2 linked regions of the Ovis aries genome follow. The protein of the gene in region 2 purifies or fractionates together with the protein of the main gene of each other region. This does not show direct contact. Links are inferred from orthologs where the notes say so. Each region holds a gene or a part of one and is shown on either strand. Other genes may lie near its edges.

Region 1 (5,316 bases), on a different chromosome or scaffold from region 2:
GAATTCATTATCTGTTTCCCACACAGTTATTTAGTGTTCTCTCAATGAATGAAAAATTTTCTTAATAAATACCCAAGCTGTTTATAACAGTGTGTCATAGTCTTGGCAGATTTAACTTCATAAATTTTTTTTTTATCTTTTACCCGCCACTCTAGTTCATTATTCTTCCGTTACATGAATTATTTCATTGGCATCTTCATTTGGCTCGTTTCTCACGATCTAGCTTCTTTCTGATCTGTGTTTTTGTAAAGTCTATGACACTGATCTGATTATATAATGGAGGTTTTCAGTGGTTCTTTACAATGCTTCTCATCTCCACAGCTCCCTTTATTGCAATTTTTTTCTCACTTCCTACAAATTTTTCAGTCTCCTGCTTTAATTTCCTTTTTCAAAATTATGACCTTGACAAGCAGTTTTCTTCTGAGCAGACTCCTTATCATCTGTTAGATCCTATTCATAGGTAAGTCAGTGAGAGAATCAGTGAGAGAATTTTGGAAATTATGAAATCTTCTGTAGCGCTTCCGTGAAGTTTATACTTCGTTCTTTAAGGTAGTAGTCTCAGACTTGACCTTGTAGAAGATAACAAAGATTTTGGATATTTCTGATCTAATGGATCATGAACCACAGTTTGACATCTAGAACCATTAAAGGATCTTGAGCACTAGAGAGGTGTGGTCACCGTGTGCCTTCAGTGTCAAATTGGGCTTCTGTTTTACACTGGTGTGATGTTTAGAAATTATGTTTTCATTTAAAAAGCACATTAGACTACCTCTGGTGTTTGCTAGGTAAAATGTTTTGTGATTCATTGTAAAGTTGACATTTTAAGCATTTATGGGTAGAGATACTGAGTAACAGGCTTCTCTGTTTATTGAACTCTTGTCTTCTTGTTTCTCCTTATTTAAAATCAAAGTATTGATGTGTCTGTAAAAAATCTGTTGTCTAAAGGCTGTAGATTTCTATTGTTCATTTTTATAAGAACTTGATTTCAAGGTCTTAAGTTTTTTTGGTCTTCTGTTCTTTTTGTGTGATAATAGGAAACACTCAAAGCCGCAGATGTTAGATATAAAAATAAGAAATGGTATTAAGAACTACATAGGGTTAATGAATATTTCATGAACTTAATAGATGTTTTTCAAGCCTGATAGCTTTTTAAAATTTGTCACAACATTTTTCCCTCTTCTGAATAAGTATACCTGTATTGCAGTGTCTTTATTTTTTTATTTGATATTTTTTCAACTACATTCAAGTATCACTGACACACAGTAGTTTTATGTTTTTAATTCAGTGAGTTTTGGCAAAGAGTTGAGGCCGTTTAGACACCGTACAGTCACAATGTAGAACAGTTCTGTCATCCCCCGGACATTTGCTCCTGCTCTCATCCCTGACACTTCAGCTCCCCTTTCTGAGAAATCACTACGTAGAATTTCATGTAGAAAATCACTGTTTGGAATTTGGGTCGTATAGTGTGTAGTTGCATGCTTGCTTGCTTTCACATAGTATCATACTTTTGAATCTCATCTATGTTGTTGCATGTAGCAGGAGGTCCTTTTTATTGCTGAGATTGTTGTATGGAGACGTTGAAATTTTGATTTCTGATTTTGTATTGATACTTTGATAAAATGTGTTTTCATATTTCTTCCAGCAAACTGACCGGGCAAATAGGTTTGAGTATTTATTAAAGCAGACAGAACTGTTTGCACATTTCATTCAGCCTGCTGCTCAGAAGACTCCAACCTCACCTTTGAAGATGAAACCAGGGCGCCCACGAATAAAAAAGGATGAGAAACAGAACTTGCTATCAGTTGGCGAGTGAGTAATAGTTGATACTTAACAGCTGAACCAGACTTATTTTAGATAGTCTTCATTAGAAGCACAAAATCATTTTATTAAAAAAAGTTATAGTGCTGTTACTTATTTGGCCCAGTTGGCTTGGCAGGATATAGCCATACATGTATAAATAAATAAAAATAGGCATAATGCTTTATTTTTATATAGATTGAGTGTCGAATTCAGATGTTACCTTCTCCTTGGAGTGGAAACAAACGCAAAGGTTAAGTGGCCTACTTAATATCATAATAGAAGGAATTAGAATAATCTGACTTTGAACTTAGATCTGACTTGGGGCATTCTCTAGTCTCCTAAACCACATACGTGGATTGAGAGTACTGCTGTTATCTGAAGTCTGTGCTTGTTTATAGATAGTATGATGATTTATGTCATGGTAGTCTACTTAAAATTTTTGTTATAAACTTAGTTTCTTTATATAAAAGGAAATGTCAAGTTGTATGATGCCATTGTTAGGTGGTGGTGCAAAATTTGTAAAGTAATTCTTACATGTTGAATTTATAGATTCTTTCTTAGAATTTGTGCTGGTTGGATAACTTAAGATGTTTGGTGGTGGTTTAGTTGCTAAGTTGTGTCCTACTCTTGGGATCGTATGAACTGTAGCCTGCCAGGCTCCTTTCTGTCCATAGGGTTTTCCAGGCAAGAATGCTGGAGAGGGTTGCCATTTCCTTCTCCAGGGGATCTTCCCAACCTAGGACTTGAACCTGGGTCTCCTGCATTGCAGGCGTATTCTTTACCAACTGAGCCATGAGGGAAGCCCTAACTAAGATGTTTAGTTAGTAATAATGAATTTAGGGCAACCTCGTTGCTTGAAAGTAACCATTAATTGAAGTAACAAAGCATATGCCAACTTTTATCTTTAGTTTAACAACCATAATAATCAGTCATCTTGATAGTATATTATGAAGGAGATTTTATTTTTAAAAAAAAGAGCAAAGTTAAGTTTCTCTCTTGGTTTATGGAGAGTAACTTGGGGTTGAGGGGTAGATTTTTGAATTAAGTTTTCGTAAGATTGGAATGCAGAGAAACACAAGAAGTAAACACATATGACCAGCAAGAAGGGACTTCCCAGGTAGTCCAGTGGCCAAGACTCCACACCCCTGGTACAGAGGGCCTGGGGTCCACTCCTGGTCAGGAAACTAGATCCCATATGCCACACTAAGAGTTTGCGTGTCACAGCAAAGATCAGAGATCCTACATGCCACAGCCAAGATCCGGTGCGGCCAGATAAATATGAAAAAATAAAAAACTACTAAAAAATAAAAATCCTTGGATTTTTATTGCCTTCACTTTCATTTCTGAGGAATGTTTCTCTTTCTGGGAAGGCTGATTATCTTTCCCACAAAGCATGTTGTTTTAATAGAAATCAAGCAATAATTTAGATATAGAGATCACAAGAGTGGAATATAATCTACTGTTTTCTAATTTAAATGAAAGTATTTGTTGAAAGTATATAGGTATAAGTGGAAACTTGAAAACTGGGGAGTAAGTAGTTTTACTAACCTGAGTCCTTTAGAGATTAAGAAATCTGGCAATATTATACCTACAAAAAATTAGTTTTTAAGAGACTGTATGTGACTCGGTTGGGATGTAAAATCTGGGCATGTATATTTAAAAAGCTTCAAGTAATTCTGATGAATCTCTAGTTAAAGAGTCATTGCCTTAAGCCCTAAGTCTCTGTTCTGCAAATTCTGTAGCTTTTGGTGAAAGTTGTAGTTTTTAAAATGTGATTTCTGGGGGAACTATTTTTGGAGTGGGAGCAAAATACTTCACATTAAAATATAAACTATGAGGTTTTTCTTACTGCATACTTCATTGAAATTAGATTATCACATTTATGTTTATCAGGTTCTGGTTAACCTAAGGTATTACTCTATAGTCTTAATTTACATGCCTCTTAAGATACTGTGAAATATTGGTCAGCCTCTTGACTACTATGTTGAAAGCTGGTAATTAAAGCCAAGACTCAGATGGCTTGATTTTATTTTACACTTGGCAGCTATCGACACCGAAGAACAGAGCAAGAAGAAGATGAAGAATTATTAACAGAAAGCTCCAAAGCAACCAATGTTTGCACTCGGTTTGAAGACTCTCCATCATGTATGTTATATATATTTAATTACTTAATCTTTAAAACATCCACTTGTAGCCTTTGGTTAATGTTGGGGTTTTTCTTGGCTATAATTTATAAAGGGAATTTTAAGTAATCTTTGAAATTTATTGATTGTGAAATGAACTTCAGATACTTTTTTGGCTAGAAGTGATAGTATATCATTATGATAGTGATGCTGTATTTCAAAAGGGCATAAATCACCATTGTGCTTGATGTTTCCTGAATGTATATGTAAAAATGGGAATGGAATTTGCCATATATTTGCCCTAGAGAAGAAAGATGTGTAGGAAAAGGTAGTTATTAAAGACTTTTTGTTACTCATCTCCTGATTTTGTCTTTGTTTTAAAGTTTATAAATGGTTTTCCAAAAGAAAACATGGTTAACCAGGTTTAGGTTTTACTTATGTATAATCTTGGGTTTCCCAAGTGGCATTAGTGGTAAAGAGTCTGCCTGCCAGTGCTAGAGACTGACCCATGGGTTCGATCCCTGGGTCAGGAGATCCCCTGGAGGAGGTCATGGCAACCACTCTGGTATTCTTGCCTGGAGAGTCCCATGGACAGAGGACAGTCCATGTAGCCATGTCAGGCTGCAGTCCGTGAAGTTGCAGAGTCGGATATGACTGAAGCGACGTAGCATGCGTGCATGTATAATCTTGGTTGTCTGGTGGCACAGTTTTTTTACTGAGCCCAGTAATTTTTTTTCCCTGATCTTTCTCTTTCTCACTTGATGACAAGTTTGTACGATCATAGTGGTTGTGAGCAAAAGAAAAATTTATAGTAGTACAGGGTTTATAATTTGGATTGGATGTTTTAATAATTAACTGTCATCTTGAACTCTTAGCAGACTAAACTTCAAGGAGGGTAGGATCTGGTTAGAAATGCATTAGTCTGGTTAAAGTGCGTATCTCCAGATTTTTTTTTTTCTGTTGGCTACAGAGTACCCAGTTTTCACTTCTTATTATGAAGCTAGAGGCCAGAGCCAGATTTGTGGTGCAGAGAGAAAGGAAATTTGAAGTATTTGAGTTGACTCTTTCTCACATTCTTACAGTGTAACCAGTTTTCCTAGTGTTGACTAACATTTCGTCTCAGAGCAGTGTTTTCAAAAGGGATGGAATATAGAATATACATGTATTTTTTTTTTAAGTTGGGTTATTTGTGATCCATATACTTAGTAATTATTCTGGGATGGGAAATGTAAACCCTGAAAGATACCATTTCTTTTTGTAGGATCTCTTGGAAAAGCAAAGTAAGGAAGGGTAAAGGAAAAACAATCTTTTATTAATAATTTTTATTTATTTCCCCTTTGTTAAGAGAAAAACACAGGCCCCAGCAAACCTCTGTTTTGGTCATCAGGGAAGG
Region 2 (5,851 bases):
ATTTTGGCCCTTGGATTTTGCTTTCTGGGGGGTGTTTTTTAAAAATCAAGTCCTGGACAGGAGAAAAAGGCTGAGGGAAGGCCTAGGGTGGGGGTGGGGAGAGGCATGTTTGTCAGCTTAAACGTGGCTTTCTGGGGTGGGCCCGCCTTCCTGGGCCTGGTGAATAGGCTGGTAGGGGTTGTCGTGGGGGGTGGGACTTGGGTCCTGGGGGGCCATGAGGAATGGGGACAGTCCTGAGGGTTGAATACCTGGCCCCCAGGTCCAGAAGGCCCTCTTCTTGGGCCCTGCTGCTCCCCTTTCCCCCTGGCCTCCATTTCCTGCCTTGGGCCTCCATCTTGTGGCAGGCCCAGGGCCCAGGGCGACTTCCGGCCCCCCTCTCCCAACCATCTTCCGGCCCCACCACCTCTGGACTGCCAACTCCCAACACTGCTGTCCTTGGCCTTCTGTCTTTCCTTGCTTTCTCTTGGGTTCTGACCCAGGGAGGGGAGGAACGGACACAGGAAGCCTTGGGTCCCTGCCCTTGCTGAGTCGAGAGGCAGTCTGTTGGTCCCCTACAGTCATTCCCTATTTCCTCAGATCCCACCTCCCCACACACTGGGGATCCCTTGAGCAGAGTTCCTACAGGGAAGATGGTTCCAGTCTTACTACACTGTAAGCTCACCCCATAGGCCCCTCTCCCTTCAGTGGCCTGCTCAGCTCCTAGCTCTAGTTTCTTGCTTTCCCCAACCCTTCTTGGGGCCATGTTTGCCTTTCAGCCTTCTCTATCTCCCCACCCTTGGTGGTGGTGGGGTCTTCACAGCACTGTCTTGTGCTCCCTTTCTCTCAACCCACCCCAGTCCTGCTCCCGCCCCAGCAGCACACTGTGGTTTGTACGGCACTGTGGCCACGTCCAAACCACACTGTGGTGTTAGAGCGAGGGTGGGGGAGGCGCCGCTGAGGCTTGGCCCAGGAGGCCACCCTGGAGAAGCGACACAGAAAACATCTGGGGCCTTCTGGTGAGGTGGGAGGTGGGGTGGGGTGGGGCGGGGAATGGGAGGTGTGAAAGCCCTGGAAGCTGCCCTTCTGAAGTCCCCAGGGCAGTCTCAGGAGAACTGGCTGCCAGAGACCCCAGAGTACATGCTGCCTCCAGAGAGCAAAGTGGAGTCTTTGTTGCCCACGCCCAGCTCCCCTGGCTCTAGCAGCACAGAAATGTTGGTACTGGGAAGAGAGCCTGCCAATATTGGCTGTGCTGCTCCAGGCAGGGTGGTGAGAGCTGCCGAGGAGGGGCTGAGCCCCGGAGGCTAAGCTGAGAGAGAAGTGTCCCCCATACTCCCGTAATGTCAGGCGGAAAGCACCAGGCTGAGAGGGAGATCTTTATTGTTTTCTGTATAAAAACGTCCATCAGTTGCGGGGGGGGACCCAGGGGTTGGGGTGCAGATGCTCATACGGGAACAGCAAGGTGGGCTGCCCCTGGCAGCCTTTCCACCCTGTCACATGCAGGCCTTGCTCAGAGTCCCAAGCGATCCACAGGTCCAGGGTGAACAGTGAGAGGGGTCAGAGGTGGAAGGCTCAGCATGAGAGCAGAGGAGGATCAGCGGAGGTCAAGAGAAGGCCAGAATCCAGGGTCAGGCTGTCTGGAACAGGAAGTAAAATGGGCCGAGATGGAGCGAGTCCCAAGTAGGACTCCCGCTTCCCCAGAGCACCTGGCTCCTTACAGACCTGACCCCTGCATGCATAGCAGGGAACTTTCTCTTCCCCAGTTCACAGGAGGGGGCTCCTGCTGAGACCCTCCCTACCATCCCCCATCCCTTCAGCTGTTGTGGGAGGAAGAGGACTCCTACCCTGGTCGAAGTTGAGTTTCTTGGCTGGAGGAGTTTCTCCTAGCCCCTCAATATCCACCAGGTCACTGTTGGCGTCCGAGTCGTTCAGAGCACTGAGTGTCACATCTGGGAGGGGGGCACAAGCTAGGTTCTAGGTTCCCTGATGGTTCTCCCCCCACCCCACCCACTTCCCAAAGTTTCAACTTCTCCTTCCCTCCCTTCCCCACCCCAGCCAGTTTCTGGAACCTTCACTGGGAGAGGAAAAGAGATCTGTCCTCTGACCAAAGCCCAACTCTCTCACTGAACCGCGGATGGGACATCTAATCCCCAGGCAGCAACTCCACAGCCCTCACCAGCCTTCTGTTTCTTTATGGGGGGACCCCCGGCCTCAGGGACACTGGAGCTGCTTGGTGGAGGAGCAGTTGAAGGAGGCGACAATACACCAGATGCCACCTTCTTGGGCCCTTTCTTGGGTGAATCGGCTGGAAGGGGGATACCAGAATCTTCATATACCTTTCGTTTCACAGTGGCCTTTATTTGAGCCCTAAAGAGACGAGAGAGCAAGTTAGGAAGGGAGTCATAAAAAAGGCTGAGAGAATAAGGGGGTGGGGGCAGGGGAGATGGGCCACTCTGAAGGAACACTGGGGAGCCCCTTCATAGGAATCCAGGTGAGGGCCTCAACGACCTTTGCTAGGGTTCTTGTTTTCCTGGAAGCTTTGCAGCCAATGAGGGCAAATGGAGCGTGAAGAGTGGAGTCCCTCAACTGAGGAGTGGGAAAGGCCCACCCCCTAATTCTCTTTTGGGAGAGATGTATGGACGTGGAAGACTACCAGGTAAGCCTGGGTGACCTACAGGTAGATTGAAACTTATTAACAGATCCTGATCGACTAGTTCAGGATCATAATATCCCTGGAAACACCACAGGAGTGTTCAAAAGATCTGTATAAATAACCAGGGAATTCCTATTAGCAAATTCAACTATTGGGTATCTTAAACTACTGGGTAACCTAAAATTAAATTCATGTAAGGTCCTGATGACCACAGCATTTTAGTAACTTCTGACCAATTGTGACAATTCTTTTATTCTTTCAGTTCTCAAGGGACTCACAGAGTAGGAAAGATGTTGAGCTGGAAGGGAGTTTGAGGAAGATGGAACAAATGGGTATGGAGGAAGAAAGCTGCCCACCCGCCCTTTCTCTGCCAGCCAGCCCTCCCTCACACTGTCCGTTCCTTGATGACACAGCTGATGTGATTAAGATCGTCCCCAAATCGCTTCACAGCAGCCCTCAGCATCTCTATCTCCGTCTCCGTCCACTTGGCACTGTCAGAAGGGGAGAGGGGAATAGCGAAAGTGGGAAGAGGAGGGATGTGGAGCCAGCCCACAGGCTACGCATTCCACAGCAACCAGCCTCCTCCCTGCAATGTCCGGGGCCCCTTCCATAAAGAGGTCCTCTTTAAAAAACAAACAAAAAAAGCAAAAAAATTCTTAAGGCCCTGTGGGAACCCTGAGGACCCCCATCCAAACGATAATGCAACAACCTTAGAAGAAAACGGCTCCCCCATCAACGTGAAACAGCTACTGTAAACAGCCCACTGAAACTAATTCAACAAGTGGGGGGGTGTCTTACCAACAGACCCCCTAAACACAATCTGTTGCAATCTGATGGAATCCCACATGATTTGGGGTGAATGGGTAGTGGTGATGGTCTATGCTCTGCCAATGCGCAGCAGGACAGAATTGTAAAATGAGTCCAGATTACGAGCCTCAGTCTGTGGTTTATCTGTCATTCATTCATTCAATAATCATTTATTAAGATCTACTCTGCGCTGTGCCAGGCACGAAGGGAAACTAACATCTGTCCCTGCCCTAGAGAGTGTCGGTGTCTGTGATCGAGTCCCAGCGTCTGATCTCAGCGTCCAGGTCCCCAGCCCGGGCTCACGTACCCCGCGGGGGAAGAATCGGCCACGGGATGCAGCTGCATCGTCAGCTCTCCGAGCTTCGTGAAGGCGGCGCCCGCCGCGGAGAAGATCTCTCCGACCTGGGGGCGGGGCAGCGTTACGGGGGGCCGGCGCACAGCCCCGCGCCGTCCCGCCCGGAGCCCCTAGCCCCACCCCAGGTTGGACTCCCGCCCGCCCCCCGCCCGGGACGGAAGAGCCGCGAGCCAACTGGGGGGCCCGCCCTCCCGTGGCCGCCAGGGAGCGCTGTCCGCGAGGGAGGTCGAACCTTTGTGGACGCTGACGTCATGGCCCCGCGCGCCTCCTCACGGAGACGCCGCCGCCGCCGCTACCTCGGAGCCGGGACCGCGAAGAGCGAGGCGGTGCAACGGCTCCAGCCCCCGCGCAGGAAGTCCCGCCCCTTCCCGCAGCTGATTGGCTCCAGTTCGGGCGCTCACCGCCTCACCAGCCGCGGTTACTCAGGCCGCCTCAGCGCGCGGGAAGGAGAGTGGAAGACACCGCCTCACTTCCGGCCCGGTTTCACTCCACTTCCGTCTAGGGGTCGGGATTCCCTATTTGGAGACCGACCTCTAGCCCGGGTACCCGCCTCCTAACCCAGACACACACACAAGTCTTAAGAGAGCAGTTTCTCTTTATTGTGGAACGGGACGAGGCGAGAGGGCCGGAGGGACAGGGAACGGCCAACCCCAACCTCCCTCCACAGAAGCCGGGCGCCAGAGGTTGGAGAACAAGGGATTGAGTCTCTCGCCAAGAAAACCTAGTCCGCAGAGGGCACCAGAATGGGAGGCGGGGGGCTGTGACCTGGGGAGAGTCTTTAAATAGAGGAGGGGGCTGGAGAGGGGGAGCGCCACTGTGCTCTAGCGCACCATGTATTCCTTGCGCTTATTGAGCCGAACTTGACAGAAAGAGAAGCCTCCGAGGAGGAGGTAAAGGCCCGCCGCGATGAAACAGTTGTAGCTGACTTGCTCGTAAAGGTTGTATATGTTCTGGGGGCCATTCCTAGGGGTGGGGATTAGGCAGAGAAATATCAGAAACATTAACAGCACACATTTACGGAACACTTACTATGTGCCCTGTACCCTTCTAAACGCTTTAATGTGTATTATCTTATTCAATCTTCATAACCCTTTGGGGGAGAGTTCTGTTATAGCATCCACTTTGCAGGGGTGGACGGAGGCACAGAGAAATCCAGTAAAATTCTTTTTTTTTTTTCTATGAATTAACTGATTTATTTTTCATAACAGCCCTATAAAGGAGGTGTTATGAGCATCCTCAAAAAATATGGAACGCTTCACGAATTTGCGTGTCATCCTTGCGCAGGGGCCATGCTAATCTTCTCTGTATCGTTCCAATTTTAGTATATGTGCTGCCGAAGCGAGCACCAGTAAAATTCTTAACAGCCACATTTAAAGCGGTGGGTTTAGGATGGTCTCTGAAGTCTGACTCCCAAGACTGTTCCCGGGTGCTAGAGAGAGCACCGTTTCCCAGCCACCGCGGCCCAAGCGTCTAGCCTCCTGCGATTCTCCGCCCCCAATTCTGACCACATCCCCTGCCTCTCCACTTACTCAAAATCTTTCTCCGTGAAGGGGACGTCTTCAATTAACACAGCAGAATGGACATTGAAAAAGATTCCGAGCATTATCTGAAAAAAGAGAAAGAGTAGGTTGTTTTAACTCAGGCAACTGACCTGGTCGCTGCCTGAACTCCTCCCACTTCGAATGTTGCCACAACATCTGGGTCTGGGAATTACAGAATGAGCTGGGATTAGGGATGGTTGTTCCCGGATCTGGACTCCGGTCACCTGGAATAGAGCTTGAATGGTGACACAGAGAAGACGTGGTTGGGGCAAGGGCAGGAATAGTGAACAACCCAGGAACCCTGATTATCCTCCTCTCTGGAGGCGTCATTATCACGGGACAGGGCGAAGAGGGGGGTAGAGGGAATCGGCACTTCTCCATATTATTTCTCCCTTTAGTACAGCGGGTAGAGTCCTGAGGAAATAAGGCCTAGCTATCCATTTCGGGAACAAGCGGTCCCTCTCCCCACTGCCCTCCATTCAGCTCAAGGATCTCTCAAGAACTTAGATCTCCTTCCTC

What was found. Proteins that work in one complex are often made in the same cells at the same time.
Region 1: the proteins of C11H17orf49 (region 2) and SMARCA5 purify together in Homo sapiens (affinity purification with mass spectrometry; 5 studies listed by BioGRID and IntAct, with this or other methods). This does not show direct contact. The link is inferred for Ovis aries from reciprocal best matches to the Homo sapiens genes BACC1 and SMARCA5.

The regions. Positions count from the first base shown.
Region 1 is NC_056070.1:14,452,256-14,457,571, reverse strand, and holds part of SMARCA5 (SWI/SNF-related matrix-associated actin-dependent regulator of chromatin subfamily A member 5), read left to right. Parts: intron 1-1,642; coding exon 1,643-1,809; intron 1,810-3,844; coding exon 3,845-3,945; intron 3,946-5,316. UniProt on the Homo sapiens protein: ATPase that possesses intrinsic ATP-dependent nucleosome-remodeling activity.
Region 2 is NC_056064.1:26,688,732-26,694,582, reverse strand, and holds C11H17orf49 (chromatin complexes subunit BAP18), read right to left. Parts: upstream 4,109-5,851; 5' UTR 4,045-4,108; coding exon 4,024-4,044; intron 3,839-4,023; coding exon 3,744-3,838; intron 3,121-3,743; coding exon 3,019-3,120; exon of another isoform or gene 2,892-3,018; intron 2,633-2,891; exon of another isoform or gene 2,344-2,632; coding exon 2,153-2,343; exon of another isoform or gene 1,926-2,152; coding exon 1,821-1,925; exon of another isoform or gene 1,614-1,820; coding exon 1,549-1,613; 3' UTR 1,340-1,548; downstream 1-1,339. Other genes in the region: RNASEK (ribonuclease kappa), read right to left, coding at 4,613-4,754, 5,321-5,397. UniProt on the Homo sapiens protein: Component of chromatin complexes such as the MLL1/MLL and NURF complexes.